3 linked regions of the Yarrowia lipolytica genome follow. The protein of the gene in region 3 interacts with the protein of the main gene of each other region in a biochemical or structural test. Links are inferred from orthologs where the notes say so. Each region holds a gene or a part of one and is shown on either strand. Other genes may lie near its edges.

Region 1 (10,122 bases), on a different chromosome or scaffold from region 3:
CTTATCAAAGTCCTCCTCTGCCTGTTTGTGGAGCTCGGCGAACTTCTGTTCCCGCTCCTCCTGCTCGTTCTGGAAGTCCATGAGCGCGGCAAGGGTGGATGCGGACAGTCTGTGTTAGCGTGATAGGATGTTACGAGGCCCGACTGGAGCATTATACCGAAAGAGGTAGCGGTGGCAGTGGTGGGACAAATTGACTGAAGAGCATTTGGGCTTGGAAGGAGTATTTTTCTGAACTGAGAACGCATTCTGGGCTCTAGGCAAGCCAACATCAACTCTTGTCAACAGTCAACAGTAACCAGCAACAGTCAACAGTAACCACCAACAGTCAACAGTAACCACCAATCACCATTAACCAGCAACGCAGGAGCTGCAACAGCCACACGCTTAGTCACTTTCTCTGGTCACTGGGTTAAACCTCCAAAGCCATCTCATCTCATCTCATCATGCACAGTTTCAACGGCAGTTGGCTCGCCGCCACTGTCAAATTCCATACTCACTGAAGAGGCTCATCCTCAAAGCCGAGGCTGGCATCGATCTCGGTGTGGAGGTCGTTTTCAATGAAGGAGGCAACGTCGGGGGCCATTTTGGATGCTGGAGTCAAGAGTCGAGCGAGAGTCGGCAAGAGCAATGAGAAAGAAGAGTAGAAACGTAGAGACGCACGCTAGACTACATGACAGATACCACCGTGCAATTTTTTAGTGAGAGTTTATCCCGAATGGGAGAGGACAAGCAGACAGAGACAGAGACACCCGTGGTCAAACAGGAACCAAGAGCACCACAGACACAAAAGTATCGGCAAAACCGCCGGTTTGGCGCCGTTCAAAAGACCGAATGTCACCTCTCTGACCCTTCCTGACCACCTCTGACGCCGCATCGCACCCTCAAACAGCCCTCCAAAGAAACCTCAGCTGTGCATGGAACTACATGTGTCGGGACAAAATAAACAATTTTTCGTGAATGTGAGCTGCGGACCCAAGCGAGGGGGGGCGACTGTGCCGTCGGTGGCGTTGTGGCGGGGTGTCGGGTCTCGCGACTTTTCTGTAGTTGTCCGCCGGTTTTATATTTGGTGCAAGTCCGGTCTTTGGTGGTCAGGCCATGATAGTGCCAGGAGTATCCTTTACTATACACCCAGAGTGCACTTTTGGTGCACGATTGGGGGATTATTAAAGTCAAAAAAAAAGGGAAAAAGAGGGAAAAAAGGGAAAAAAGGGTTTTACGCCCAAGTTTAAAGACAAACCTTGAAATGGAGCAAGGAGCGGACACAGAGTTGAATAAAGAGATAAAAATATAAAAGTATAAAATTATAAAGTATAAAAATATAAAAATATAAATATAAAATATAAAATATAAAATATAAAATATAAAAATATAAAATATAAAATATAAAATATAAAAAAAATAAAATATAAAATATAAAATATAAATATATTAAAATATGAAAATGAAAATGAAAATGAAAATGAAAATGAAAATGAAAATGAAAATGAAAATGAAAATGAAAATGAAAATAAAAAATGAAAATGAAATGAAAAATGAAATTGAAAATGAAAATGAAAATGAAAAAAAAAAAAAAAAAAAAAAAAAAAAAAAATATGAAAATGAAAATATAAAATATATAAAATATAAAATATGAAAATAATGGGGAAATGGGGGGAAATGGGGAAAAATAATATAATTATTATCAACATAATTTTTTTTCAACATGTTTTAATTCTCAGCTGATTACAAAGCATCAGAAAATTGAAATTGATTTGTATGCAGAATGCGAATTGGTCTCGATACGCCGTGTTTGACACTCACTTCGGTGCTAGGATCCAATGTACAGAAAATAGCCTGATTGAGCGACCTGGAGGGTTCCACAGAGCCCAAATCCTCGATATGGTGCTGTTCAGGTAGCTCTGTTCCCCCACGAGAGCAACCCCCTTCCTGGCATCAAAGAACCAAAATGCCATCGACCTCTGGGGACGCCGAACAAGGGGTAACACTCGAGTATCGGGCTCCTTCTTGTAGATGAGCATGTCTGTCTACTTTGAGTAGCAGATTTTGGTCCGCCGCGATCATGAAGATACTCTCTGGCATGAAGATACTCCGGGGCGCGACGTCTCGTTGCAGTACTGGGCGTAGTTTCTGTTGGTGTCGAGCAGAATGTCCTTGAGCAGTCCACTGCCTCCAGAGGTCCTGTTTCTGGATCGCCCATACCTTGGGCTAGACAATGGAATGAAGGGACATTGAAAGTGGGCTGAAAGTGGTCCGATAAACGGGAAAAGTTGATTTTGGGAACACTCGACGTCCATTCTTCATGTGTTTTCAAGACGGTTTGGGGGTCCTTCAGGCCGTTTTCAGACCCAAAAACATCACCTACACCCTCGTCATCATTACATGTCATTAAGTATATACACCGGGGTGCTAAATGAAGGTCTGTGTTAGTGGAACATGTGGAGAATGGGGAGAGAAGATGGGGCTACCAAGGAAGGTGCCATCTCAAATATGTCTTTGCACCTACCGCTAGTAAAATGACCGCCAGCACAATGACCAGAATTAGCAACAGACAGCACTGTCGGGACCGCGACCGGCTCTGATATCGTGCGGCTCGGTTGAGTTCGCTGGCGGCGCTTCGGGTCTCGCCAGCAATCGAATACATGTTCGATTCGATGTTGTCTGTGTTAGTATTCAGTCTCGCTCGGTGTCTGCAATGAGAAAGTCTAGAGGTACGGGTAGGAGCATAGTAAGCAAATCATGTGCATCGCGAAACACCAATTCACCGATTCACCGATTCACAGAACATTGCATCAATATAACCACCTCCAAGGTCAGAAGACACCCTGGTCTACGCCCTGTTTAAACAAAACCTCTGCTCAACATCCCCCCCTCCCCCCGTCATACTCACCAACAATGGTTCCCTGTTGGGTCACAATGGTACCGAGATCGGAGAAAATCTCGTTGAGCTCCTCGATACCCTGCTCAATGTTTCTGATCTCCTCCTCTCGTTCCGAAATCAACGTCATGTGCTGATCTGTTTCCGACTGATTCATAAAGTCCTGGGTCATGACATCCTGCTGCTGCAGTTGCTGCTGCTGCTGCTGACCCTCGCCCCTCGACTCCGACTCCAGCACCGCCTGCTTGTCCATCTTGATCTCCTGCTTCTCGTGCGCGGCCAGCCGTTTCTGGATCTGCTGAAACTCGGACAATGCCGTGGCAAACTCCCGGCCCAGCTTCTGTTGCGTGAACCGCTGGGCGGCGTTTGTGTCGTCCCATTCCTTGAGCCGCTTGAGATCCTCGCCCGTCGTCTTGAACCGGTCCCGCGTCTCGTCGGCAAGATCGATCGCCCGCCCCACCACGTCCCGCTTGCCCCCCGTGTTCTGCGCAGCCTTGAGCAGCCGCCCCAGCGTCACCAGGTTGTTGTTCAGCAGGAACAGCGTGTCGGAGATATCGGCGTTAAGCTTGTCGAACTCGGGCGAGTCCGAGTACGCCGGCTGCGCCTCCAGGCTTACGGCGTCGCTGAAAGAACTCATGTGTGTGATTAGTATCGTAGTCGCGGAATGCCGAGATAAGAATAAACACACTGCATGTGAGCAGCTCCCAAATAGGAAGCGAGTGATTACGTATGACGCCACCAAATAGAGTTGCAAGTGGGGTTATTTTGGAGGCAGAAAAGGCGCTTTTAGAGGCCATATTTGAAAGAAATGGGATTGCATTTTGATGTGAGATTTTTCTGTGGATTTTAGGGAGTATTTCGGTACAAAAATAATCTTTCTGCGACGGTTTTTGGGCTCTAGGAATATACGATAAAAAGTATTATTTAATATATAAATAAATATATTATGAATATACATAAATAAAAAATAAATAGAAATAAATAGAAATAAAATAGAAATAAATAGAAATATATAGAATTATAGAAATAGAAATAAATATAAAAATAAAAAAATAAAAAATAATATTTTTTTTAAGAGGGTGATAAAATATCTATATATACATTTTCACTCACGAACATAGCCTAGGAATACAAAAACATGACTATTTAACCTCCTCCGGCGGCAGTTAAGTCGGAGTCTGAAGATGGCCAAACCAGTTCAAAGTCTGACTGTAGTTTTGACGATGTCTGCGCCTCTTGTTACACACTATGTAGCTCACGGTACCACTGTTACTCACCCACAGCCTCGTATTCCCTGTACACAAATGTTTACACAATATCATTTATTGGTTATTCCTTCTCATGCTATACATCCTTATCGTTTCCTGGTCCTCTCTCTAGAAAACGAAATCCTTCTTGAACTGGTCCACCTTGGACTTGTCTGCTGGAGTCAACGGCTTGGGCACCTCGCCCTTGAGGGGAGTGCTAAAGTCAAAGTCTCGTCCGTACTTTTTGGCAGCCTCGGATAGGGGAGTAGAAGGAATACCTGCCTTGGCCAGTTTGGGAGTGGAAGGCAGAACTGGCTTATCTTTGGAAATCTCAGGGTACAGAGGCTTGGAGGGAGAGCGAATGGCAGCAGAAGATGCCAGATCCTTGCCGATCTTCACATCTGTATCTTCGTCCCCGGAAGGAGAAGACGATTTCAGCTTGGAGGTGAAACCGTTGTTGGTCTTGTTACCAAACGTGAAAGAAGGGGGCATGGATTCAGGCGATCCCGACGAAGAAACTGCAGTTTGCTTCGGCGCCGAGGTCTTGGTGCTTTCGGGAGACTTGGGGTCGGCCACAAAGGAGTCTCGCAGATTACTGGATCGCACAGGCTTATACTTGTCAAACTTCTTCATCTGCGGCTGGGCCTTGACGCTATCTCGCTCCCGCTGCTGTTCCAGAGGCATGGACTGACTGATGATCTGGGAGGGGGTTTTTGACGGCGACGCCTCCTTCTTTTCGGGGGAAGGAGTCATGAGTTTCTCACGCGACGGGGGGGTCAACTGACTGGCAGATCGTTCTCGCTCGGGTCGTCGAGGAGAAGACGCGTAGGGGTTGATGAACTCCTTTGCGGGAGAGGATTCGGCTGGTGTGACAACCTCTTCTTCGTCATCATCAATCAGAGACAGAAGAGTAGAAGCCACTCCAGAAAGAGGTCTATCTGCGACAGAAGAGACCGGTGAGGTGATGGGCGATGTGGAGTTTGTGGTTGTGACTCGGTTAGGCGACAGGGCCTGTCGTGCAGATCGCTTAGGAGAGGACATCATGGGAGATGGACGGCCTCTAACTCCACCGAGGGACGATCTAGTGACACGGGAGTTTCTCTGGCCAATAGAGGCCATTGATCTCGACTTTTTGAGAGTCCCATTAACACTCGCAGCGGGCTCCATTCGTCTGGGAATCTTGGAGGGCGATCCGTACGTCTCGTTGCGGCCTGCCAGATTGGCCAAACTCATGCTATGACGAACCGATCGGTCGTGCTGGGTTCCTGTAGGCGACAGTCGTTCGGCGAGATTGGGATCGTCGCTGGCCGCCTCGTTGATGAGTGCCAGTACACCTGCGGTTTCCACATCACTCAAAGGAGCGTCTCCTTTTCTCTCGAAGAACTCTGCCAGGCGTTGGTTGGGCGATTTTCCGGGGCCCAGCGAAATGCGTTTGTGTCGGGGCGGTGTCTGCGATGGCGTGTACACCGTTTCTGTGATCTCCTCCTCCATCTGGGGCTCTTCAAAGGTCCGCGACCGGTCAATCACGGGGTACAGCGCTGAGACGGGCGGGTCCCGGGCCAAATTTGCAGGCGAGTGGCTCTGTGTTGGTTGATTGGGGTCGTCGGGTTTGTGCGGGCGGAAAAACCCAACCACCCGGGAAAAGAGACCGCTTCTGTGTCCCTCAGCGGGGGGGCTGGCCGCCGACGGGCCGGGGCTGGGGGGCGGTCCGTAGGGAGACCCCTCGGAGGCTGCGGAGCGAGCTTTTGGTGCGGACGACGCGGGAGTTTTCCATGATGCTGCGCCAACGGTGTGTTTGTCGACGTTGGTGTCGTCACAGGCGTACAAGTAGTTAGTTAGTGTATCATGTGGATTTTTTTGGCACCATGCATGTTGGGAGGTTGGAGGTTAGGGATTTGGCTTTATTGGGGGGGCTGAGAGAGCATTTTGAGCAGCACTAAAGAGGGGTTGGAGGGGCTTTTTGTGGGATATAAACACATAAATCTGATCGTCGAAGCTTCCTGTCTAGATTTGTGTCTTTGGTTTCCCATTCTGATGTCCGATACGTCTCCACGAGGCGTCGTGTTGACGGCCTACAGTTCAACCGCTGGTACAAGCGAGCTCATGTCTGAAAACGCTATTGGCATGAGGTTGAGCGGGTGATCTGAGATGAAAGGAAGTCGACAACCGGCTCCACGAGTATGGTAATGTGAAGTACTCCTCCGCAATCATCAACTCCTCCGCAAACATCAACTCCTCCGCGACAGTCCGGCTACTCCTCCGCGACAGTCCGGCTGCTCCTCCTTGACGCTCAGTAGCCATTCAAACATACCATTCTAAACTAGACATCATCACACCCCGGAATACTCCATCAGTGCCGTAGTCACACAAAACCATCCTCGTGACCTCATATAATCGGACTTTGTACAAATCCAACATTCGCCATACAAAATGATCCCCACAGCTCTTCCTCCACCTCCATACAGTTGTCCATCCCCAGTCAGACTCTGAAATACCCCCACAAGTGTAATTCTCGTCATACCCGTATATTGAACACTTCTTACTTTCCTCCCCTCCCCTTGCCCTCCCACTATATGAAGCAATACCAAGTCCACAAGAACTACAATCACTCCGGCGGCAATGTTGCACCTCGCTCATATCCACTCTTCGAATCCCCGCAACGTCGTTATATCGCCTTCAATTGCTTCCCCCAACCCCGTCGTCTAGGGTTACGTCCCAAATTACCCTACCGGATAACCTCGTGAGTTCGAATCTCTCTTGTCATTTTTTTACCCGAGCAATAACCCGACCCATGAGTTCCCCCGACGAGATTGTCGACTATCTCGTGGAAAACGTGGCCCTGTTTGGTCCCGGAGGTGAGTGTCCCGGCTGAGTGACGCAAACGGCAAAATGGACAAAAAAACCCCGTCTCGACAGTCCACCAGCCAAATGGTCGATATGCAGCATCGCAGAGGGAAAAATATTTTTTTGCGAACGCCGCAATTTACGTGAAGAGGCAAGAATGGACGTGTTCGTGCGTGTGTCTGGTCGGTGTGAGCTGTTCAGTCTCTTCGGAGACAGGATCAGGGTGTTTTTGGTCCACTTGAGACTAGCTGATAGCTCTAGGGAGGGGTGAAAAACGCCCAAGCTGTGAAGAAACCCTTCCCGAACGTTCTAGATGGCGATGGAGTTTGATTGAGGGTGTTTTTTCTCTACAGCGGTCACTTTTGGTCGAATTGTGACTGTACTCAACAGCACTGATAGGACTGCCCAAGTCTTCTCGTTCGTTGCTATGCCGTTCGCACCTGCGCCATCCCTGCTCTCCAATGTTCCATGACTCTTCTACCCTTCTCTCACAGCTCGTACACTCGACTCGTGTTCTGCTAACCTAGGTGTAACCCTCCCCCAATTGTGGACACTCTCCTACGACAAGGTTCCAAATCTCACGCCCAAACTCCAGCAAGTGATTTGGAAATGGCTCATGAACCATCCCAGTATGGTCGTTGGAGTCAACGGAGAAGACGAGACCGAGACCGTCAACAAACTTGATTACAAAACTCTGCTCGAGACATACCCCCAGGACTCGGTTCAGGTGTACGCTGACGAAGACACCCAGTGGCGTACTTTGACGGGCAGACCCAAGAAGAACAACCCCATTGGAGCATTCCCCTTTGAAGCACTGTGTGTTGTTGCCGCTGCTCGAGAAGATGGAGCTACCGCTGTGCAGATCACCAAACAAACTGGCCAGGATGCGCGATCCATCTTTGGGCGGGTCAACGCACTCATGGAGCAGGGTCTGGTGTCTCGTTTCCCCTACTATGCCGGTCACAACACGAACCTGATTGTGTACCGATCGTTTGTGGCTGCCAACAGAAGAAAGCTGGGTATCACTACCGGCAATGCTGCTTCGTCTGGAGCTGCAGGAGTGGATATTGCTGATTTCCGAAAACGGCTGGTTGAAGCTACTTTCAACGCTCATAACAGAATCAGACAGTACCTGGACCTAAGAGACGAAATGGGCTGTGGCAAGACCCGACGTCTCAAGTCGTACTTTGCTCGTGCTGTGCGTCAGCTGGAGGCTAATGGCTACCTCAAGCGAGTCTATGTGTACCCCGACCCTAGCAAGGATGAAAAGTACTACTGTCTCAAATTCCTCAAGCCTTATGTCAACACCACAGATATGGCTGGTGTCGATGAGGATGACGACGAAGAGGAGGAAGAGGAAGAGGAAGTCGAGCCTGAAGAGGAGGAGAAGATTATGGGCTCTTTGGATGTTATGGACGACAGTGCGGGAATCAAGATGGAAGACGTTGGAGAGCCCTTGCTGCCCGAAGAAAACTCTCATATCATTTCGTTCAACCGCTTCTACCCCCTCATCAACCAGATTTTCAACCTCACTCAGATTCGAGGCTCCCATGGTATCCCTGCCATGGAGCTGTGCCGTTTGACTGCTGGTATCTCGTACACCCGTATGTTTTCGCGGTACTTGGAAGGCTTTGCCGAGCGAACCACCAAGAACAAGACGGTCAAGAACAAGTCCGACCCCGAACTGCAATACTTGAACCTCATTCGGGGTCTGGATGTGAATGCCAGAACCAAGTACTATCGGTACGTGACCGAAATGGACTATCGGGCCTTTGTCGGAGAGGCTGCCGATCCCGCCTGGGGTAAGTTTCGACCCCTTCCTACCTCTGGGGCCAAAGCTGCTGCCAAAATTTACTCTTCTCTGAGCGACATGCAACATAAACTTGGCTCTGAGATCCCTGGAGTCGTCCTGACAGCTACTGTGACTCTCCCCGATGGTTCAGAGCATCAGTTTGTCACCTTCAGAGGCTACAATGTGACTCCTGCTGCTGGCGTCAAGATTTCTGTCCAGCAGGGCAGTGGAGAAGGTAGACCCAGAGGCAGACCCAGAAAGCGACCTGTGGACGATGACACTGCAGCTCCCGGAGACAAACCTCCGCCCAAGAAGCGTGGCCGAAAGTCCAAGGCTGAGCATGAGCGGATCAGACTGGAGAAAGAGGCTGCTGAAGCTGCTGCTGCTGCTGCTGCTCTGGAGGCGGCCAGTCGAACCGTAAATGAAGCCGAGGCAACAACCGGGGAAACCACTGAACAGGCTGATTCAGCTACTGTTTCTTCCGTGGCCGAGGCAGCTGTGGCAGCGGTGTTGGCCGAAACTGACCCCGTGGAAATCGCAGTCAGACAAGAAGCCGAGGCCGAACAGGCTGCTGCGGAGACGACAGAGCCCGAACCTGCTCCGGGGCGCCTTACTTCTCGAGGAGTTGTTTCTTTCGCAGCCATGGAGCGAAAGTCTCGTATTTTGAAACTTCTTTCTGCCAACAACGGTGTTCTGGAAGGCGGTAAACAGCTGGAGATTATGTTTGACGCATCGTATTCGCGATCCCGAAACGGAAAAGTGGACTCCAAGACTCTCAACAGAGACATTAACCAGCTGGAGGACGACGGCAAGGTGTATCGTATTTCCGTCAACGTGGGCAAAAGCAGAGACTCGGCCATCGTTCGTTGGATGGTTGTACACTCTTCGCTGCCTAGAGACGCTCCCCAGGTGCAGGATCTCAAGGCTCAATTGATCCATCGAACCAAGGTCGCTAGTGTGCCTGCCACTCACAATCCCATCCGAGAATCGCTGTCAGGGGCCTTCAAGTTGTACCACAACCCTGTTGCGAACCCACGACGATCGTTAGGCAACGAAGACAAGTCCCCTCATCGAGTTCAGGAGCCTGGTAGTGACGGAAGATGGATTAGTGATACTCGCAAAGTTGTGCCTCGGAAGAGAAGATCTCTGCGGCCCTCCAATATCGACCCTCAGTACGATTACACCGACCAGGAGCCGCATCAGGGTGCCGGCTCTTCTTCCACTTATCCTCATCAACAGTACCAACCCCAATACTCCATGGACTATGCTCAGGAGTACTCCACTCAGCATCCGGCTTACAACAGCTTGAACAACCAGTTTACTGGTCTGGATGACAGCATGATTGAACCTGAGATGATTGCCCA
Region 2 (11,877 bases), on a different chromosome or scaffold from region 3:
CAGGGTTGCCATGGACTTCCTTAAGAAGCATCTCTGGTGGAGGAGCCGAGCCATGGGAAGAAAGGAAATTGTCGTACTTGACGGCAGAAAGAAGACCCATGAGGTAGTCTTCAAACTGGAGTCTGACATAGTCCTCATTGCCATGGAATGTGGTGGCTGCAGAGTTTCCAGACGAAGTGTCGACAGCCTGCACGACTCGTTCGATCCACTTCTTATCGTACGACGACAAGGATAGCGGCGACTTCAACGACGAGTTGAGAATCTCGACGGTGTTGTCGTCCATATTTACAAGCACATCGGCATGCTGTTTCTTCTGTTGCAACAGGAGTGAGTTTGTGCTTCCAACCAGGTAGTATCTAGCCAGAGCGAGGTCGCCAAGCTGCTGCAGAGGAATGTAGGGAGAGAACATACCACCCTCTCCAAAGACCATCAGAGGCAGTCCCATAAAGTTGAGCAGAGACTGCCGATCAGAGGTTTTAAGTGAGGTTGCACGAGTGAGTCCGAGCTCGTATGAATGCAGCAAGGGAGATCCGCAATCTTGCAGGTTGTTGATGAGATTAGGAATAAGGGAAACCAGAGAGAACTGTGAAGTACAGAGCAGCTCAGTTGAAGAAGCGTAGAAAAGCACTCGTTTCTCGAGCAACAGGGCCTTAAATACCACCACCAGCTTCTGCTTGAGACGTGAAACCAGCTCACAGAGCGACATGCCGATGGACACGTCAGAAGAAGTGTCTGAGTTGAACTTGGACAGCGTTAATGTGTGTGCCAGCGAGTCAAACAAGCTTCGAATGATGGACTTATCGTCAAAAGTGGGCTGCATAAAGAATGCACGTGTCACCACAGCCAGCTTGTCCTTCATGGGGCCCCAGATGGGCTTTCGGCATATAACCACAACACACTTCTGAACAGTACTTCGAGTCACAGCCAAATCCTGCTTCAGAGCATCGGTCACGCCAACCTGACGGTTACAGGCGATACCAAACAGCGTTGTAACGGTCTGGGTATTGAAAGGACGTCCATCGGAGTACCCACCAGCTCCAGGAGCGCTCTTGTTGTTCTCATCAAACAGAAGAGTGAAGTATGAAAAGTCCTCTTCCCGAGAATGGGATCCATCACTGAGAGCCTGGAAAGGTAGGTTTGGCCACAGATGAGAGTAGTCCTCGGGGCCAAACCATTCCTCGATCTGGGGTCCCAGAGAATGGTGAAATCCCACAATGCAGACGGAGAAGAGAAGCGAGTCATCGGGAATTGGTTCCGTGATGGTAGTGTGAGTGGCTCGAATGGACGGCTTCTTGGCATGCTTGGGCTGTTTGAGAATACCCTTGAGAGGCGAACCATTGGGTGACGTCACAGGAGAGCCAGATGCAATGTCGATGGCAGCAGTTGAATTAGCGTCACCAGCCTTGGTAGGTGTAGAAGGAGTTTCTTGCAGAGGAGTATGATCGGAAGCCATTTCGGAAGCAGCAGCTGTAGCACTCACAGAAGCGGCCACACCTGCGGCAACGCTTTCTGTGATTGCAGAAGTCTCTGGCAAGGTGTCCTTCTTTGACTTGGTCTTCTTTGACTCGGCTTCGTCCCTGGCAGGCTCGTTTGCCTCAATCTTTTTCTCCTGGACAGGTTTCTTGACCTCTTTGACAGGCTCTTTCTTTGTCTTTGGTGCAGATGAGGGGAAGGCCCCAGGGGTAGGGAATGCACCTGGAGTGATTGTGGGGGATTGGGAAGACTCTTCATCAAGATCAATGACCTCCTCCTCGGGCTTTGGTGTAGAACCAGCTGCGGGCTTTGTATCGGCGGCTCTCTTTTTGAACCGATCCTTGTATCTCACTTCTCCGTCGTCGTCGTCCAGATCAACCACCACAGGAGGGCTTGCGGGAGGGGGAGTGAAGTTCACAGGAGGAGGAGGAGTGAAAGCCACTGGCGAGGGGATTGGCGCGCCAACTGAAGCAGCAGCAGCGTCCGTCTTGTTGCTGATATCCTTGGTGAGCTCCTTACCAAACTCGATTTTGTTGTCCCCCATAGAGATCTCTTCGTCCTCGTCGTCCTCGTCTTCACTGGGCTTGAATTCCGACTGAGTGTTGTGAGGAGAGTAGATTTTGATCTGGGGAATTCCGGATACGGCCTTCTGGGCTGTCTGGGTCGTAGTGGCCACCTCGGGCTCCTTCTTTCGCACCACCTTGGCCTTAGACAGCACGGGCTGGCTGACGGTCTCGATGACAGCGTCGTAGTCGTCATTGTCGTCGGAATCGATTACCACAGCCTCTGTGTCGTGAAACTCGTCTTCGGAGTCAGACGAATCGATAACCACGGCCTCCACTTTTCGAGTAGCTGGCTGTTTAGTTGCCTCTGTTTTTACAGCTTTTGAACTGGTTTTGACAGAGACTGGCGAACCAGCGGATCCCGGTCGAGAAGAAGAAACGATTCGAGGAGACTGGGGCACTTTGGGAGACTGGGCCACCTGTGGAGAAGAAGGAACGGACGTTCTAGGTGATCTGGGGGTCTTCGGAGAAGACGGAACGCTTGTGGTGGGCGAATTGGATGTGCTAGAGGTCATTTTAACAGAGGTGTTGATCTGCCCGGCTCGTGGGCGGTTGCGGGCTCTCGGAGGAGCATGAGGAGTGGCTCCAGCGGCTCCGCTACTCTCTCCGGACACAGATCGTGAGGTGGTACCGGACGCGGTAGCTCCGTTGGCTGATCCGTTCGAAGCTGCGGCTCCTGCTGTGGTGGCTCCTCCGGCCGGGCGACGTACCTCTCCGGCTCTCAACTTCTTTTTGGCCATGTCGTTTGTGTGCCTAATGTGTGTGTTCACCACTCTTGACGGGTTGCAAAAGGAATGCACTGTTCACGCGTACGTGTGCAGCTAGGGTTAGGGAATGGGGCGGACGTCTTGGACATGTGCAGACTTATACGAAGAGGGTGACATTGGAGACAAGTCAGAGAAGCGACGAGAATGTTTGTTTTTGCAACTACAAGATGAGTATGGTCTTCGATAGCTGTCAAAATACCACCCTTGCTTGGCTTGTCAAAAACCACCCCAATAACTACACTTAGCACGTTCTAACAATCTCGCTAATCTCCGGCACGCAACGTGTGAAGCTCGTTTGGGTTTTAGGCTTCCAAAGCGGAAACTCCAACTTTTAGACATTAGGAAACGTTTTTGGAGCACGTCTACAAGTGGCTCAATTGTGCCGTGATAAAGATCTTTTATTGGTCCATTTTTTCTACCATAAACAATACTGGGTTCTCATCTCCATCATCAACATAATGACACGTGTAACAGGCACGCGAGCGGGTTCATTTGGCAGTACATTTCAGGGGCACCTGAACCTAAACATTTTTTTCCCGGAAAGCGGAAAAAGGGTTGTTTGGACAAACGGTGTCGTAATATGAGCGTTTATATTACTGGATTCGGTACGCTGGGGCACGGCTGATTCGGTTTGAGATGCATTATTCAAAGTCAGAACATCCGCAATCATCAGTATTACGTCAGGCGCGCTGCAGATCACTCTTCGGCTGCACCAGACGTGACAGAATTAATGATGCACGATTTTTTAGGCATGAAAATGATAGCCAGGCACGATAGCCAGGCACACGAAAAAGCAGCACCTTCTTCATGTCCATTGTTATGCATGAGGAGAAGCGCACATCAATGTATAAGTACTGTACGGCTATTATGACACTGTACTCGTACTTGTACCTGTTGCAATTTTACGCCCAGGTATTGTATACAACGACTCAGGTATCAACGCATAAGCCTCAATTGAATCTTGCCAGACGCATCCAACTAATTGTACCAGTATAAATTCTATATATTGTAACTACTCACCTGCAGCTTGTACAACTACAAGCACCAGTACATCTACTGTAGCACAGTGTACGATACTTTACTTCTACAGTAACGACATTAATGCGTTTTAACATACATACATAGTTTACATTGATCTACTTCTTCGCTATCTTGAAGTACACCTTTTAAGGGTGGTCAGTCTCAAACACGTAGGTACCAGTCTCCAGATCGTAGGAGATGAATCGGGTGTTCTTCTGCTGCTCGAGACGAGCAATCCATCGTCTTGCATAGGGATGCTTGGGGTCGGTGATGGGTTTCTTTGTGTCCTTGGCGATGGGTCGGCAGTTGTAAAGAGTTATCTTGCAAGGTACCATGAGACCCTCGCCCATAGGAGGCCGCTCCTGGTCGTCGTTGTACACGATACAAGTTTGCTTGGTGAAGGTGATGACGTTGTTAGGGATCTCGTCCAGATCAACCGCAGTCAGATCCACGGGCTCGAGGAATTGGATCTTACCGAAGCCCTTTCGGCCCACCACAAAGTTGGGCACGGCCTTGAGCTGTTCGGTGGTCATGGTCTTGAGAGCCATGAGTCGGGGAGAGAACCAGTAGCCCTGATCATCGACAATCTCCTCGTCCGAAGTTTGGGTGGCAGTGGGAGAAGCAGTGGCGGAGGACTCCACAGACACAGCCTTGTGAATAGGAGAGGCCGTAGACTTGGGGAAGAATGAAGGAGTTCCTGACTGAGAAACGGGAGCCATTTCAAGCGAGTCAGGGTCGTTCAAACCATTTAACACGGAGTTGTCTCCAGCCGCAGAGAAAGACACTGACTTCTTTCGCTGCTGGCTGTTCGGAGTACTGAGAGATGATTTGAGAGGAGCCTTGGAAGGAGTATCATGGACGTTTTGGTGCTGGTGAGGATCCTCCAGCTCAGGGTCCTCGCCCTGAGTCAGACGTCGCAGCTCAGCCTCGTCGCCAGAACGGTCAATGACCAGCTTTCGGATCTCTCGTCGAGGCACAAAGGCGTCCGACCCCAGCAAGAACTCATCTGTCTTGGGAGAGAACAGAGAGTGGCGAGGCTTGCTGGCCGTGGACATAGATGTGTTGCCCACGCTAGACACAGAAGTGTTGCCAGCAGAGGCGACCTCGGGTAGAGAGATTCGCTCAAACCGGTCCTCCGGGTAGTTTCGCTGGTGCGCAACATGCTCGGAAGCAATGGCAGACGTCTTCTTTCGAGGCTGGAACAGTGGTCGAGACGACGAAAGGTAAGATGCAGAAGATACGCCGTTGTTGCCGCTCTTGGCTCCGCTCTTGGAGGTTAGAGAGGTGGTCAGAGGATCCTTGGCAGTGCCGTTGGAACCAGAAGAGGTCAGAGCAGGAGGAGTCTGACCAGAGAACAAGGGGTTGTTCGAGTAGGGGTTCTGGTCAATGGACGCCGTGAGCGAAGGAGTCTGGTTGTTTCTGGCACCCATGTTGTTCATGTTATTGTTATTCATGGCATTGTTGTTGCCGAACAGACCGCCACCAGTAGAGGTGTTAGCGTTATTGTTGGCGTTATTGTTACCGAACAATCCACCGCCAGTGTTGCTGGTGTTAGCGTTGTTGTTGCCAAACAGACCTCCTCCGGTGTTGGAGGTGTTGGTGGTGTTGTTGCTGCCAAACAGACCTCCTCCAGTAGTCGCAGGCTTGGCACCAAACAGACCTCCACCGGTGGTAGCAGAGGTGTTGGAGGCGGCGTTGTTGTTTCCAAACAGCCCTCCGCCAGTGGTGTTGGTAGTGGTGGTTGAGCTGTTGTTTCCGAAAAGACCGCCGGTTGCAGGCTTGTTCTGGCCGAAGAGGCCTCCTCCGGTGGCTCCAGTGTTGGAAGAGGCATTGTTGTTGTTCTGGCCAAACGAGAAGCCTCCTCCAGTAGTACCGGTCGAGGCAGGAGTGGTGGTGTTCTGGCCAAACAGCCCTCCAGTAGCAGGTTTGTTCTGGCCAAACAAACCGCCACCGGTGGTCCCAGTGTTGGCAGTGTTGTTGTTCTGGCCAAACCCTCCGAAACCTCCACCAGTGTTTGTGTTAGTGTTGTTATTATTGCCGAACAATCCACCGCCTGTATTGGTGTTAGTGTTGTTGTTAGTGTTGCCAAACAGTCCTCCGCCGGTTGTAGTGCCTGTGTTGGTTGCTCCGAAACCGGTAGTTGCGGGCTTCTGTCCAAACAGGCCTCCTCCAGAAGTGTTGTTGTTCGCACCAAATGCGTTATTCGTAGTGTTGGTGTTGTTTGTCTGACCGAACAGACCTCCCCCGCTGTTGTTGGTGTTATTGTTCTGACCAAACAGCCCTCCACCTGAGGTATTGTTGTTAGCCTGGCCAAACATTCCGCCGCCGGTGTTGGTGTTGGTGTTGGTGTTGGTGTTGCCAAAGAGACCACCCCCAGTGTTGTTGGTCTGGCCGAAACTGGTGGTAGCAGGCTTATTCTGACCGAAACCGAAGCCAGTAGAGGTGGAAGTCTGGCCAAATCCCCCCGAGGTGTTGTTGGTGGTGTTATTGTTACCGAACAGACCTCCGCCAGAGTTGTTGGTGGTGTTGTTCTGGCCAAATCCTCCGCCGAAACCGCCAGTGGTGTTGGTGTTAGCGTTGTTCTGTCCGAATCCACCTCCGAAGCCACTGGTGGTGTTGGAGGTGTTGTTGGTGCTTCCGAACATGCCTCCACCAGTGTTGCCACTGCCGAAAGACGAGGTACCACCAAAGGGCGAGGGCTTGGCAGCCCCAAATGCACCGGTGTTGCTAGTGGCGTTGTTGTTCTGACCGAATCCGCCGAATCCACCAGTGTTGCTGGTGGTGTTGGAGCCAAAGCCTCCAGAAGTGGACGAGGTACCAAATCCACCACCAGTGTTGGTGTTGGAGCTTCCAAACAGGCCCCCAGTAGCGGGTTTGTTCTGGCCGAACCCGCCACCAAAAGTATTGCCACCCGAAGTGGAAGAGTTTCCAAACGGCGAGTTGTTGGTGTTGGAAGAAGATCCAAAGGGAGAAGCGGTGTTGGCAGCCCCAAAGGTGTTGGTGGCCGTGGCGCCAGCAGTGCCGTACTGCTTACCCTGTTGGTAATCAGCCAGCCGCAGCTCCTCCTGAGACCAAGTGCGATACTGAGGCATCATGGTGATGGTCTCGTAGATGTTGGTCATCATCTTTCCGTTGGCAGTATCCTTGTCGGTAAACGGCTGAAAGGGAGTAAGAGTGGTACCGGGGCATTGACCAGGAGAAGGGGTCGAAGACGAGCCGAAGGGGGATGAAGAAGCTGCCCCAAACGCATTGGTGGAGGTGTTGGTGTTCGAGGCTCCAAATCCACCGCCACCAAAAGTGCTGGTGGCTGGCTTAGCCCCAAACATTCCGCCTCCAGAAGATGCATTGTTGGTGTTGCCGAAAAGACCGCCGCCAGACGAGTTGTTGTTGTTACCGAACGACGAGCCGCCGCCAAATGTCGTGTTGCTGCTTCCGAACATGGCTTTCAAGACGGGAGCAATGAGATCTTGGTGTGATGTTGAGTCTGTGTCAGCCTTTTTTTTCCTGCCTATAAATCATTAAATTGTATGAGTTGGGAGGTGGTTCGCAGGTAGGGTAACTCAACTTTGGGCATGTGTGAGGAGCAACTTGAGCAGTCAGTATCAACTTTGAAAGTGTTTCAAGCAACAAAATTAAATTTTACTGAAATAGTGGAGAAACGAGCTCACGAGTCTGTTTGTCCGATGTTTCTTTTCTGAGGGGCTCATATATCATGTCCCATGTTTTGTAGGGTTTCGCCACTTACAAATATTGTCAATAGTTGACCTTTTCTCAGATGTATGTATACGATTAAATGTATTGTGTTGTATGTATTGTTGCATGCATAAACTGATCTTGCTGGAATGTGTAACAACAGGACGTGTCAGGTTGTGTGTGTACATATTGTACTCTGCGAACGCAGTGTTTATCTTACCTGCATTCTTTGATGAGTATTACTCGTTGTTATTGGTTTTCTTTATGCAACTACTATTTATGCAACGCGTCGTTATAGAGCTCCTATGGTTGTTCTGAGGACATCTTAATTATTTTGTTCTACGGAAATACATTTTCAGGGTTTTTCATTTTTGATTTCTGGGATGTTTTTTTATTTTTTATTTTTTATTTTTAATCTTTGGATGTATTACACACTTTTTGTTTATCCTAATGATCCATTTTTCTTTTCTCGTTTTTTCTTTTTTATATTTTTTTTAACTAATGATTCATTACAGCTCAATTTTTTTTTATTCTGATGATTCATTACTCAATTTTTTTATTCTAATCAGCTGACTAATCAAATGTACGGTATTCTACGTCCAATTTTCTTTTTTCAATATCGTTAAACATGCCTGGCTAGCTCAATCGGTAGAGCGTGAGACTCTTATTCTTAGGTGTCATCTCAAGGCTGTGGGTTCAAGCCCCACGTCGGGCTTTTTTAGTCTCCATTCTTCATTTGATTACTAATAATAATCATAAGACTGCGTATGATAAGGCAATAATATCGCTTCAAACGCAACAAAGGCTCATTTTTCTAATATTGGGTCATGAATTACTGTCTAAATATGCAACTGTCGCTCCTTGACTGTCTTCTTGGAAGGATCATACTCAACCCAGCTGGCGATCTTTCTGTTCAGGAAGGGGCCAGGGTTGACCACCATACACTCCTCGTACCTGAGAGAGAACTTCGGAGCATGTGTGTCAACCATAAACAGGATCGTAGGCAGTGGACTGAGCCATAGAGTTTCGTCGTAGTCCCAGGCAACAGGTCTGTCGTGTCTGTTGAAGGGAGACAAGTGACCCTGATCACAAATGGTTCGCACAATCTTGCGAGACTCCACCTCCTTGGCTGAAAGAGTGTTGGTAGGACCCACTTGGCTGGCCATAGGAGTGCTGATATCCACTGGTCGAGTGAGGTTGCTGAGCCCCTCTCCAAAGTCGAAGGACGATTCGGGCTCGTTGACTACAACGTCGTTGATCATTACTTCATCGTTGTCAATCTCAATGTCATCATCCGAATCGTCCGAATCGTCCTTGGCAGAATCAAGTTGAAGGTTGCACTTTCGCAGACGCTCACTGAGTCCATCTCGGTAGAAGACCATATCCTGTGTAAGATAAGCCATTCTACAGGGGTTGGAGCTCATTGAAACATCCTCTCCACATAGTCTGGCGACTCTGTTAATCATGGTGGTTGGAAGAGGTTGCAGAGGAACAACTGCATTCTGTGTCGGGAAAGTGTTAGTCCAAGGATCCCGTTGGCCAGGAACAAAAATAATCTTGACACCAGTGATAATGCTGCTGAACTCCTTGAAAAGCTCCTCCAACTTGTCGAACCCCTTTTTGTACAAATGCGGTGGCTGGTACTGACTAGTGAAGTCTCCTGAGAACACCATGGCTAGAGGCTTCTTGGTTCCAGAGTCCTGAAACTCAAGCTCAATGGTCGAAAACACTTTCTGTAGAGCCTTGAGAGTCAAAGGATTGTCCAAATACATATCTCCACCAAACACAATCACTTTCTGATCTACCAAGCGTTTCTCTTCGGCAAGCATTGATGCTTCCACCTGCCGTTCAATTCGTCTCACCACAGAACCATGGGGGTTTCCATGCAGTCCCAGATAGTCCATGTTTCCGTATGCTGTGATGGTCTCCTGTCGTTTCTCGGCCACAGGAGGGCCCATGGTGATGACCACAAACACTTCGGCGTCTCCTGACTTCATGTATCGACCGTTACAGATGACAAAGGAGCCTTCAGGATAGTATACTCCTGGATCAGGCTTGCAACCAGCTGCTAGGATCAGCAGAATACGACCAGTGTCGTCCTGCAAACAAATCTTCTGCTCCGGATTCTTGGAAAGCATTCCGAAGATGGAAAACTCGCCCTGTCGACCAATAAGAGATCGGATCGATGTGATTTTCAGGTCTGTGGTGTCGTCATTGCGCAATAGACGGTTGTAGACCAGATGGTAACGAGTCAGAAACATGTTAGAGGCAGATTGGGCATTGGCGAACAATGTGGGTTTTGTTTTCCGCTTCTCAAACCGTTGCTGGCGGGCATTATAATGGAAAAGAGGCTGATCAAAAGCACTAATCACCTTGAAGAACTCCTTCCACACAACGTCCACAGAAGGAGCTGCTTCTCTGATGACGTTCACCTGTGGCTCTCCTTCCCGATCCTCGATTTCCTCCACTCCAGTCAATCCCACGCTCTTGGAAACCACCTGGACTCGTGCCTTTTCCTTGGCCTTCTTGCTGGCTGTGATCTCATCGAACAGTTCCTGCAGCGGCTTGCCCTCCACAAAAACACCCATCTCCTGCTCCTTCCACAGTCGACAAATCTCCTCCATCATTTTGGCAGCCTCGGCCCCTCGCCATTCGGTTCCGTAGTTTTTGCCTATGATTTCGGTGAGTGTTTCGAGACCTGTTGATTTCAAGTTGAGGCCGTGCTTCTTGGAGAAGATCCGGTACGCCACGGGCCGCATTTGCGATGGATTCAGCTTTATCGGGAGGACTGCTGGCATGGTGGTGTAGCTCGTATGTTGTAGTGTGCTGAGTGTTGTGTAGCTTCGTGCTGCCCTGACGCGTTTTTTCCATTAACGAAATCATGCACGCGTCAAAACCTTGTGTGTGGATGTGTACAAATTTTTAGGAGAGGTATGTATGACCCGTGAACTTAGTATTCCCCCCACATGAGCATCAGTAGCCGTCATAATATGAACGCTTAGGCGATATTTTTTTCTCATATGAAGGTACACCCATGGTAGTTATTGCGGGGACTCGAATAGGGGATAAATTAACACCTTCGACGCCATGTACTTGTACTTGAAATTCTGGTGTTGTCGCTGTGTGTGCAGCGTGTGGGGGTGCACATTGAGAGGGACGGGTGAGTATGAGCTCATCTTCTTGTGTCGGTACAGTACATGTACTTTGTAGAGTACTTGTACACATAGTGTGATAGAGATCACATGTTATCAGCTCAGAATATTGACCGTTCTTACGCTTGCAGGGTGCACACCCCACCGTGGCTTCACAGCATACGAAGTCAGTTTAAGGAGTTTAAGACGACCCACTCAAACAATTAACAGACACGAGATAAGTACAAGTACTGTACTTGGACTTGTATAATGAGAACGAGGTGAGATTCAAAACCCCTTTTATACACAACTCATTCAATATTCGTACCTACAAGTACCCATACAAGTACCTGTACGACAATTGTCATCTTGTACTAACTCACCACCATAATTCATATACACATTCTGTATCGCACACTGCATTTCATATACTTAACAAGGTTCTCAAGGCTAACGGTAAGGAAGCGGAATAATAGGAGGGGTAGGGCTATTACAAGTACGAGAGTTATTTTCGAAATTAAAACCACACAAATCTACAAATTGGACACAGTAATATTGATCCATTGCTTTGTCCGGTCAAATTATGTCTCAAAGTCCCTCCTACAGCCCTCCGCAAACCCCCCATCCGGGTATCGACCGGGTCGACCCTAGCCGACATATCCACGGCATCTCTAGTTCCGAAAGTATCACGCAAGTTTAAATATATATAATCCGGGCAGTAGACCAATATTTCAGTGTGTCGATGCTAGGGAATTGATGGAAAAGAGAAACGGCTGGGAATACGACTGAAACCCACTGAGGACGAGCCCCCGCGGCGCAAATGTCCACATCGCCAACATTGAACCTGGACATCGAAAGTAGATTGTTCGACATCTGTTCACCACTGCACTTCAACAAACGACTTTTTCCATGGAAGAGACAACACCACAGAGGGAGATATTATATGATATCCGCTGTGATACCTATTTGTGATACAGGTGGTTAGTTATTACGACTTCGGCGACGACTATGACGATTCAAGCATCCACTACAGACAGATTTGACAACATCACATTCCGACACTGACAGACGTGCTCCCGGCCCAAGAGGCATGTACTGGAATAAATGGAAGCCCTTACATCAAATGCTTGAGTGTAAAGACCTCGGACATTCATGTTTCATCTGCCTCTGCCACAGCATCATCAACAGTGAGCTCACGGCATGCCGTTCGAATCTATGCTCAACAGGAAC
Region 3 (11,128 bases):
ACGATACTGTTGACTGTAGTGTTCTGTACTTCAAGCAACGGCGTAACTACAATAGCACTACGAACCTATACCTGCGACTTCGACTATCCGGCCAACAACGGTCACTTCAAAAACATCCTCCACTAAGCCTCGAATAAGCCTCTCGGCCTTTGAACTGTCTTTTGATGGTCCTTTGAACTTCTTTTCGATCCTCTAGAGAAACCCTATAACTTCTCACTTCCACCGCACTAGCGCATGTCTCAGACTATCGTGGTGAAAAAAATATTCGTGATGTCTCGCCTTGGCTACTTGCCTAGGCTACTTGTAGTCCTGTCCTGGTAAATCTTGTCTGGGATAATCGTTAAACATCCCACACGTGGATTGCTCAAGGTACTACTTGTACGAGTATTGCGCATTAGCGACCCGTAAGACTGCTAGTCCAGGATTGCACTTTTCAGCTGTGTGGCTGAATGTCATATAGACTGGGAGGGTAATCAAACCTGTGTCTCTTGCACTGTTCAACATATCATCCTCCCTTACCCGATAGCTGCCTGGTATTAGTTAACCTCGGACCCTTTTTTTTTTTAGCCATGCCTTACGGCTTATTGGCTACAGACAGTAACTGAACGAGGACTTCGAGTCTACCAGCACCGATACTCGTAGATGACTGTACTTGTAGCAGTAGCAGAAGAGTTTCCTCTTTTGGAGTAACAGACCAATGTCGAACTCTTGACTGCGATGACAAACCCAACGCAGTCAGTCGCCATCAAGATATCTTAAGATGAATTCAGTGCCCAACAGTATGAACGGTGTTGAAAACCTCTTTAAAAGACCACTCGCCTTAGGATGTAGCAATGTAGGAATCGAAGACGACACAATGATGCGAGAGGGATCGATCTGCTCCCTCTGAAAAACATTCCACGTGACTTTGTCCGCAGGCGTTGTCTGGGAAGACTCCATCTACATTCCTTCACCACATGGCCTACGCTTCATATCTGCACTCCTACTTTCACCTCCTATTTGTACACGGGTTGAACGATACAAACTCCAACTTTGATCCCATAATCTGTATAAAAATGATTAACTACCAATATCCAAATGATTTAACATACTTATTTCTGACCCTGGAGGTAGAAGAAAGCAGCGGCGGCAACAGCAGCAGCAACAATGAGGAAGATCATGGAAGAAGATCCGTGGTCATCACCAACAGACTCGCCGTCCTCGTAAGAAGTCTTGACAGTGTGAGTCTTTCGGATAACGTCCTCGCTGGGGTCAACCTCACCGACATAGAGGTCGTTAAGGATGCCGTAAGCGTCCTCAGAGTGTCCAACGTCCTAGGGTTAGTATACAATTCAACTGTCGTGTTATTCGTGTCACCGTGTCACGCGACAGATCGGATGGGAAACACGTTGGAAGTCTAAATAGGCGACTGATTAGGCGATCCCCGAGACCATTTCCAGACCCTTCAAAGAGGTAGACATGCAAAAGCAACTCTGCACAACCACCTGACTGCTCCTGTGGAACGATTCCTCAACACTTTAGACTTTGAAACTTCAATTCCAAAACGGTGGCATCTCGAGTGCACGTGAAAGTTCAAAAAGTGGGGTAACACCCTGGAATCGGCAGCAATCGAAAATGCAAGCCAAGCGGTCCTTTGAGAGTGCCTAGGTGTATTGGGTAACAATCGGGTAGTTTCTTCCGCGCCCAGTGCCAACTCATAGTTGGGACTCGCGATTAGATCACTAATCCGTTGGGCAACTGTAGGTGGGTCGAAACCTTGTCGTATTCCTCGTGTCTGACTAATGTTGTGCTGTCATTGGCCAGCACAGAAAGCACAACGTGAAACACAACGACAACACCTCCGAAAGACAATAGCAGTTGCAATTGTTGCCCTGACATTGTCGATTTCATCAGCTGCTGCTGTTTGAGTCCGTGTTATTGCTTTTTTTTCCTTGCTTCTGTGGTGTTGGGGTTCCATCTCCTGTTTGGCCCATCATCCGAAATCTAGAAATACTCACGTCGAAAGCGTTGGTGGCCTCAGTTCCACCGGCATCAAGAAGAACCTCCTCTCCACCGCTGTAGTTAGTAGCTGTTGTGGTTTGTGTTGCTGGGCGACTTTCCTATTGTGGTACTCACGGATGCTCGTCAACGAAGCTGGAGATGTCGTAGACCTTGCCGTTGATGATCATCCACAGATCATTTCGGTCCTTGTGCTCGGCGACCTGCTTGAGGGTGAAGATCTTCTTCTCGGCAGTATCAGTAGGAATGGCGGCGGTGTCAGACACTGTGTTAGTATTGCAGGGTGGGAATGTAGGGGGGCTGGGGGAGTCGCGGGTGGTGGCATGTATGGATTGCAGAAACACCAGAAGACACAACCAAACAGTCGATTGCACAGCTTTCGAACAGTGCGTGCTTACTTGTGTCTCTCTGAGCTATCCCAATCTCTCTTCTTCCACTCAACGGACAACCTCCATGTCGTGTTGATTCATCACGTGAAAGACGACGATTCATTCATAGAGACGTTGTTTGGGTCGGAAGCTTCGGTTCAGTGGCCGTCGTCTGCCCTTCAGCCCGGGTGGGTGCGCCCCAGTCGTTTCCAATACGCACTTTTGATGATTGAAAGTAATGTCAAGCTGTGTAAGAATCACTCTGAACTTGGGAAGGCAAGCTTGGTATATAGTATTTAAAAAGAGGCTGTTTACCCGAAACGGCAGTGTGCGGTTAGGGCACACCACCCAACATGATGCGGCCATGCGCGGATCAAACCACACTCTAATTCCACAGGCCCATATGATTGTGGAGAAGAGTAAGCAGAGGTGGGGGGAAGTGAAAATGTACGTGTTGCTGAGATGCTGAACATTGGACAGTACTGGCCTCATTGTATATCCGTCTAGATCGCGTATTATGTAATCAAGCCCCCTGCATAGCAGCCCAACATCCGCCCATCACTGCGGCTCCTCCACCTCCTCCAGTATTATACATAATCTCACATCCTTTCAAGGGCTAAAAGACCCACACATGGATCGATCCACCACATGGTGCCCAGGAACGAGCACAACTAGTATCAGAGCAAATCAAAACACTTATAAGCACGACTCTCGCCTCCGCACAGCACAGAGCGGTGTCGAGAACTGGCACATTGGCGCAGGAGTCCGCTCCACGAACATGCCTCGTCTATGCCGTGTTGAAGCCTCCGTCTCATAAGCTTGCCCTGTATATAAACCCATTCTGACATTACTCCCTTCTCTATTGGTTGGAGAGTTTGGCGGCGCATGGGTGTCCTCAAACTAGATTTGCCAAACCCACATGGCTCTCTTTTGGCCTTTAGGCCTTTGGGCCTTGGTGTGGGGTAAACGTAGTGACTAAAGCTAACTGAATTAGTTGAGTCTAACCCGCTTTTAGTACCGCTGTCGACTACAGTAGATGAAACACTGATGACAGCACAACCCGGCCTGGCAAGTCGATTCTTGGACAAGTTGCAACTACAAACATATATCACACACTTATCCAGCCGTATTCGTTCTGTCGATGGAACCTAAAATATATATACAACCCCACAAAGTTGCCCCATTCTACATACACACAGCTACAATACATATGGTTGTACCTTTTTTTTTTTTTTCACATGGTTATCGAGCAAGATCTTCACGTGCTACAGATGCAGACAGGCAAACAATCAGGGGGGTGGGTAGATCTAAATCATGGCCACCTGCTACACTGTATATTGGCGATATACTCACCAACCTATAACTACAAAGTAGTCATACTCAAACGCTTGTTTTCTATTTTTCCGGTATCATGCTATTTTTTGTGCAAAAACTTGTTCCCTCATCTCAGACAGCCTATTTCTCGCCCAGCTGTCGCTTCTGCTGCTCACGTGCCCATCGAGCGGTAATCTTGGTCTCGTCAGTGAACTCGGGATCGCTTCGAGTTCGTCGAATGAACTCCAGCACCCATGGCTTAGTGTATGCCTCCTTGAAGTCTCCACCGGGATACATGGTGGCAACATCACCAATGATACCCACAACGGACCGAGCCACAGACTCCACAGGAGCGAGCAGAGGGTCCACGGCCACCTTGGACAGGAAGTTGAACAGAGTGGGGACGTAGGGAGCAAACAGAGCAGGGTAGTCTCGAAGACCGGTGACAATGCCGACAAATGCGTCGATGATTCGCTCACGCAGGTTGGCGACAAAGTCAAGGAACTCCTCGGACACGGCATAGCCGGAGTACTGGTCAGGCACATCCAGCTGGCACGCCTGCTCAATCACAGGGAAGACAAAAGAAAAGTACCGCTCAAACTTGGGGCCAATGCTTGACGCGATGTCTCCAAAGCACGACAGAATCGAGGGCTTGATGACCTGTTGGGCCTTGGGGTTTTGCAAATCGGTGACAAACAGCTGCATGTACTGGTCGGAGAACTGGTCAATGGCAGGGCCCAGAGCGTTGGACACGTCGGCCACCAGACCGACTGCAGTGTTGCACACAATGAGAGAAGGATCTTCCAGAGCGCGCAGAAGGAAGGGGTTGAGAGACTCCATGAACTTCATAAAGCCCTCACCGTTGGCATCGGCGACAGCTCCAATAGCAATGAACACGTCCTCCTCGATGAGCGAGTTGGGAAGCTTGTTCTGCAGCAGGTTCAGGAACAGAGTCATAAGCCGGTCGGATGCGGGCAGCACCAGCTTGTCAGTTCGACGGATGATGTTGGTCAGCAGACCGAGCAGGTTGATCTGCAGCTCCTCCAGGTTGATTCGGTCGTCCATGCCGACAATCTGCTGCTGCATCTCCAGAGTGGTCTCCAGACGAGTGACAACCTCGCCCGACAGCTCAAGCACGGCTTCAATGCAATCGTTGGCACACACAACAACAAGGGTCGACAGAGCCTCGTAAGCAGCGGTTCGGGCGTTGTTCTCGTTGTCGTTTCGAGAAGCGGCGTTCAACAGAGCAGGCAGCACCTGGGGGTAGTAGGGGGAGACGACGGTGGTCTCCTGGTTGACGCCGCCGTGGCCAAGCTGCTCGAAAATGTTCATGATAGTCCAGCAACAGTTGGTGATGACCTTGGGCTCGTCCTGCAGTCCCTTGAGCAGGGTATTCATGATGACGGGCAGATGGACTTGCTCGTCAATGGCGTTGATGACCAGATCGGAGATTCGGCCCAGACACCACGCCACGGTGTCCTTGACCTGCAGAGAGTCGTCATTCATCAGGTTGAGAATGGGCTCTAGAGCCTGCTTGATGAGATCGGCCAGATGGGCGTTGTCAGGACCGTCCAGAATAGAACCAAAGGCCATGACAGCGGCCTCCCGGTTTCTCCAGCTGGTGGTATTTCCAATGTTCTGCTCGACAAACTGCAGAGTCAGAGGCACCACGTCGTTACCAATGGTCTGCGCGAACAGCTGCAGACAGGCGGCAGCAGCCATGCTAACACTCCAGTCCTCGTCGTCATCGTACTCGTTCTGCCGGTTGAGCAGCTCCAAGAGAATGGGCAGAACCTTGGGGGCAGCCACCTTGGCGAAGCCAAAGCACTCCTCGCCGGTCCGCTGGTTCTTGTCCTCAATCTCGCATACGGACGACCAGAACTCCACAGCCATGCATGCCACCGAGTCGTCGGAATCCTGCATGCCCTTGACGGTAACGCCAAACAGAGCCTGCTTCATGTACAGTTCCATGAACTGGTAGTATTTGGTCATGATTCGAGACATTGTGCCGTAGCTGACTTCCCGCAGCTTGGCAGAATCGCTCTGGGTGGCTTCGCACACGACAACCATGATGCAGTTTCGCTCACCGTCCCGGGCAAAGTTGTCTCTGATGAAATCCAGAGAGTCGCCCAGTGCCTCAATGGCCTTGAGCCGCACGTTCTGGTCCGACTCCTTGGACTGTGCCGCCTGCACAATGGCAGTAAGAATGCCTGATGCCTGGGAAACCACACCAGCATTGTTTCGGTCTGCTCGCTCGCAGATGAAACCAATAGACTGCAGAGCGGCCATCTTGATGTGACTGGGCTGCTCGTCCTTGGTGTTCTCCACCAGGGTGGTCATGAGACTGGACCATCGTCCCTGGGGCAGATCAATCTCCGCAATGGCGGCCACGGCCTGGGCTGCTGCTGAAGCCACCTGGTTGTTAGTGCTCTTCAGAACCTCCAACAGAATGCTCTTGATCTGATCTGTAACGGATCCATCGGCAGCCAACCACTTGTTGGCCTGCTCCTGCTTGACCTCCTGGTCCTTGGATGTCAAGTTGTTCTTGATGGCAATACCAGCAAGCACTCGGATTTCATCGGGTATCTGGGTATCCTGAGTGCTGATGCAGTTGGCGAGGGCCATCATCACATCACCGTAGTAGTTTTGGTATGCGTCGGCCAGCTTGGAGTTGGCCTCGTTTCGCACCTGAGGCGTGGCGCCCTGGAAGGCGTCGTGAAGAATGGGTGCGATTTCCATCTGGGTTAGTAGGGGTCTAGATAGGTTGTGTGTGTGTCGTTTCAATGGCAACGTTGCGGGTGCAAATTTAGTGCGCTCGTGTTTTCGATTCTGCCGCTGATGTCTGTCTCGTGCACCCCACGTCTGGTTTGCGGTATTCTAGACCAAACCACACACGTCATCAATCGATTAATGAGACAAGATCGTCATAAATCAAACTGATGGCTGCCACGAAAACAACTATCCAGCGCGATCCCGTTAACCCAGCAGTTGTCTCCTTGGCCAGCCAGGGAGAAATCAATTCCAAGATACCCCACACAAGTTGCGTCCCGCTACAACCTCCAGAGCCGGCAATTTGAGCGGGAAAACGACATTGTTCAAGTCAGAAATTCCCACATATGCCACCCGCAACATGCCCTTATTCGCCCCGTCCCTCAGAGACGTGACGGGTCGCAAACGGCCACCTTGGCCATCTGAACACCTCACCACATGGCGTCCGTCGTACTCACGTCGTAGTCTGTGATTTGTCGATATCCGAAAGTCGAAAGTCGGTCTCTAGTGTCCACACAAAAAGAATTCCTCGGCCAATTGAAGGTCGTTCGCAAACGGCTGAATCGAATATAATCTGTTTAAAACAGGGAGTGGTAAAATGATGGGACGTAAACAGACCCAAAAGCCAATTTTCAAATAGAGTGCTGTAAATTTGAGCACACCCACACCCCCGGTTGTCCCAGCAACGCCCCCAGCTCCTCCTCCCAGCAATCTTACTGAGGTCGGGATGGCGTAACAAAAAGCTATGTAAACGGGACTCATTTACTCAGTCGCGTCCCACGCCGCAATGTCGCCAGCTCCAGGTGGCAAATTAGCATCCCCCAACCCCGGACTGAGAAATACTGATGCCGACTTGCCCATACGCCAGAGCACATACAAGTCTGTGCATGCGGTACACGTACACCAGCCATAAGTAAAGGACCACCATCCAGATATCGTTCCGGTAACTACTGCAAGTAAATGATCCCTATCTTTCTACAGTAACTCCACCGACCTTAAAGAATAGTCGTTACAACTGCCCTACAGTCTTTGATGACGACGATGACCACAACTAGGAGCAGTGTGGGCTCTCGCTATCCCCGCCCCCACTGTTGCCGAGCAACATGCTGTAATAAGGGGAAATTAATACACAGATACAGTGTGGGCTCCTACCACTTGCAAACACTGCGGGTCGAAATCCCAAGTTCTCGCACGTATACTGTATCGTGATCAGTTGCTGGGTAACGCGTCAAAACAAACCTGCAGCAAGTTGTAATTATGTATAATGCCGGCATCTTATGAACCTTGGATGGCGGTTTATTTGACAAGGTCATTATTCCGGTGAGGTTATCTCAGCCGCTAAAGGGTTCATGGTCAATTGATTTTTGACCGACTAGCGAGCGTCATACGAGTACTGAAGTTGCAACAGCCCGTCTAACCGACAGTCTGTAGGATGCTTGCACCATATATGTTTACATGCTGCCTATGAAACACAATACAGACCAGACACACACTTCGGGCTACATGCATAGTAACCATCAAGGCGGCTTAGTCAGATGGTTAGCGCTTGTAATAAATAGTTATGTACAGTCGTCAGACTCCTTCCCTCGCTTGTCCGGTCCACATCTCCAGCCAGTACATCTGCCTGCGGACACTCTCGTCAGCAGACATGTTCACGGTGGGAATGATGGTGGTGGCAGCCATGTTCAAGCAGAAGGCTCGTAGCTCGACAAAAGACGAATGCTCAGAGTACGGGACGTTGTACTTTTGAACAGGCTCGATGGCAGACCGTTCCAGATTCCGATCTAGATTCTCCACATTGTACTCGAGGTCTCCAAAGTCATAGTAACTTGGTCGCAGGTCTGTGGCTTGCTCGTTGGCTTGAATAGCACTTTTGGGTGGTCGGTAACTCCATCCTGTGGGAGCAAATGCGACAATTTTGGAGAAATGCGGCTTGAAGCTCTTGAGATGCTCAAACAGCTGGTCCTTGCGGGTCTGGCCAAGAGGTACGAGGTGAACCTGGGCTTCTAGAGGGTCGGATGTTAGTAATTCAGAGATGACGGGGTCGTTGAATGTTTTGAGAATGCGGCGTTTGGTTGTGTCGGCAAAGAGCTTGGAACCCAGACGAAGGGCAATCTCAATTGCCAGCCTCTCTTTTCCAATGGTATATGTTCCAACCACAAACAATGTGCGAAGTTGATGTACTGGAGAGTTGGGTGAGCTCGTGAAGAATCTTCCGATTGTCGACTGCCGTTGAGCTTTCTCCAGTTGCTCCATTTTCAAGTTGTTTAGTCGCACACAAAAGTCTGCGCACACCTGAACCACTCGGTTTTGACTGGGGAAGGCATGGCTGGGTCCTAGATACGTGGTGTCGAGGTACACCTCGTCGAGCTCTCGCTGCTTGAGTTTCAGTTTGATTTCACGCACCAGGTTCATGTTGGCCCGAAAGTCTCCACAATGAACAGCTGTCTTTGTCGGACTGGTGAACAGCATGACAGCTGCTCCGGGGCAGTGGTTGGCGTCAAAGAAGATGACCTCCACGTCGTTACCGACACAGAACGGAATATGGATGGGGATCGGAACCAGCCACTCATCTTGGACTCCCAGTTTCATCTTACAAAGAGCTGCAGTAATGGGTGTGCAAAAGATAGGGCCGTGATTCCAGCTCTTTCGTAGTCCTCCATAATGATCCGCATGAAAATGTGACAGGAAATAAAGATTGATCCCTTCGAGAGGTCCATGCATAAACGAGTCCACCGCCACGTTCGTTTCTCCCATCTTGATAATCTTGAACGACGGTGCCGGCTTTTTGGCTCGCTTCTGTTTCTTGACAGGCTCTACAACAGCAGAAGTCATTTCTCCCTGACTGTTACACACCATCATGGACTGGGTTGAAGTGGGTTCTTTGGCCTTGGCTTTTCGTTGCGGTGCTCGTCTCGGTTTCTTAGTTGGTGTTTCCACGGCCCGTGTCAGTGACTGTGTCTCCACCACAGTCGTATCCATGGTTTCATCAGCACTAAAGTACACCTCGTCTTTGATCTCCTCCTTGACTTTGCTCTTCACTCCTCCCTTCAACAGATGAAGAAATTCGTCTGCGAGAAAAATTGGCGTTCCCACTGCCTGCATCTCCTCCATCTTGACTGTTGCGGGTGTAATTGTGCTTGTATCAAACGTCAGGTCGCCTTTGGTGGGTGTAGCACATGTGACGCCATCATCATCGAGACACTCAACGCCCAGACATTTCTCAGCATGGGCGTTGCGCTCGGAAATGCTAAGTCCCGTAATGTCCAGCGGACACAGCGGACAAAAGACCTGTTTCTTGGGCTGGCCGAATCTCAACACATCCTGGCGGGGATCGAACAAATACTTGAGTTTTTTGGAACGGTTCTGGCGATCTTCGTCCATCCCATGATATGCCTGGCTGTGGGTGCGTGACTGGATGTGTCGCCGGATTCCTCTCTTTTGCTGATGCAGTCAGAAAGAGTTATGTCAAAGGCCGGTGGCGTTGGATACAACAAGTGCATCGATCTCGCATGTTCAAAGCTTATGATGCAGGAGACGGGTGAGAGTAGTACACCTGTGGAGAGTGCTGGAGGGTATATATATACGTGGGAGTGTGTCACAAGGGACATGTTGCGATAGTTGTCGTTGGATTTCTTTTTTTAGGTAAAAACGCGGGTTTCGCGAGCATCTCTTCTTCTACTTGTACGCCGCATTTCATTATGTAGCCTATTCCGGTGATATATGGCAATTTGAGATTTACTGTACTTGTACAATAGCGCATGGCGAACGAAAAAATTCACCAAAAAGTGAAAACCAAGGGGGGAAATTAAATAAATTAGACAAATGCACACATACTCATCATCTCCTCCTCTCAATGGACAGAACCGAAATCTTGGTTAGCCACCCACGCAACTTCTTCAACCCAACATGGGGACACTTTGGAGTAACCACACACATGGAAATATCGATCATTTCAGCAGCCAAAGTAATGGCTTCCTGAGTGATCCTGCTCTCAGAGACGTGGCCAAAGTGTTCAAAAGTTCGAATAGCTCGCAAAAACACGTACCGAAAGAATGCCGACACATTTTTGAGAACCACAGCTTCAGGAACACTCTTGTTCAACAGCAGCCTGGGGAACCGAGCCGAAAAGTATTCCTTTGCTCTGTGTCTGACAGCTGCCAGCTTGACTCCTTTATCGACCCATAATAATGCAGAGCTATAGGGATAGTCTCGATGTATCTGAAGATTGCAAGGATCGATCTTCATGCCCAAAAACGGCATCATTTCGCCCTCTTCAAGCTGCGCGATTCTGACACCACCCACAGACAGAGGAAAGTTGACTAGACACTTGGATCGGTTGACAGAGACTCCATAGTCAGGTAAGCCCTTGAGAGCTCTGTTTAAAAACTCGGTAGCTATAGCAGTGTCGGTAGTGATTAGCATAAAGTCGTCCACGAATCGCATAAGACAGGTATCTGGTCTATCAACGAGATCGCTGAACTTTTCACGCACCATTTCCTCATAGACCATGGAACAAAACAAAGAGGATAATATAGAGCCTTGCGGGATTCCACGCACTTGTCTATGTACCTGACCGTCAATAAAAACATCATTTCTGAACAAGTGATCGTTGAGCAGTTTGTACAGCAGTTGTTTTCCAACACTGTCACTTTTGTTTTCATCCACTATGATCCCCT

The links.
Region 1: the proteins of YALI1_D15114g (region 3) and YALI1_C30632g form a complex in vitro, tested with the Saccharomyces cerevisiae proteins (2 studies listed by BioGRID). The link is inferred for Yarrowia lipolytica from reciprocal best matches to the Saccharomyces cerevisiae genes KAP95 and NUP60.
Region 2: the proteins of YALI1_D15114g (region 3) and YALI1_F35938g form a complex in vitro, tested with the Saccharomyces cerevisiae proteins (2 studies listed by BioGRID). The link is inferred for Yarrowia lipolytica from reciprocal best matches to the Saccharomyces cerevisiae genes KAP95 and NUP116.

What each region holds. Positions count from the first base shown.
Region 1 is NC_090772.1:3,058,775-3,068,896, reverse strand, and holds YALI1_C30632g (uncharacterized protein), read right to left. Parts: upstream 5,614-10,122; coding exon 4,252-5,613; downstream 1-4,251. Other genes in the region: YALI1_C30683g (uncharacterized protein), read right to left, coding at 1-109, 498-583; YALI1_C30672g (uncharacterized protein), read right to left, coding at 1,302-1,688; YALI1_C30665g (uncharacterized protein), read right to left, coding at 1,889-2,386; YALI1_C30653g (uncharacterized protein), read right to left, coding at 2,462-2,658, 2,888-3,512; YALI1_C30614g (uncharacterized protein), read left to right, coding at 6,914-6,977, 7,494-10,122. UniProt on the Saccharomyces cerevisiae protein: Functions as a component of the nuclear pore complex (NPC).
Region 2 is NC_090775.1:3,589,204-3,601,080, reverse strand, and holds YALI1_F35938g (uncharacterized protein), read right to left. Parts: upstream 7,264-11,877; coding exon 3,970-7,263; downstream 1-3,969. Other genes in the region: YALI1_F35983g (uncharacterized protein), read right to left, coding at 1-2,776; YALI1_F35907g (uncharacterized protein), read right to left, coding at 8,356-10,314; YALI1_F35894g (uncharacterized protein), read left to right, coding at 11,468-11,624, 11,669-11,712. UniProt on the Saccharomyces cerevisiae protein: Functions as a component of the nuclear pore complex (NPC).
Region 3 is NC_090773.1:1,505,075-1,516,202, forward strand, and holds YALI1_D15114g (uncharacterized protein), read right to left. Parts: upstream 6,420-11,128; coding exon 3,822-6,419; downstream 1-3,821. Other genes in the region: YALI1_D15063g (uncharacterized protein), read right to left, coding at 1,092-1,313, 1,998-2,055, 2,116-2,263, 2,481-2,490; YALI1_D15149g (uncharacterized protein), read right to left, coding at 8,022-9,833; YALI1_D15181g (uncharacterized protein), read right to left, coding at 10,290-11,128. UniProt on the Saccharomyces cerevisiae protein: Importin beta subunit that functions in nuclear protein import through association with the importin alpha subunit, which binds to the classical nuclear localization signal (cNLS) in cargo substrates.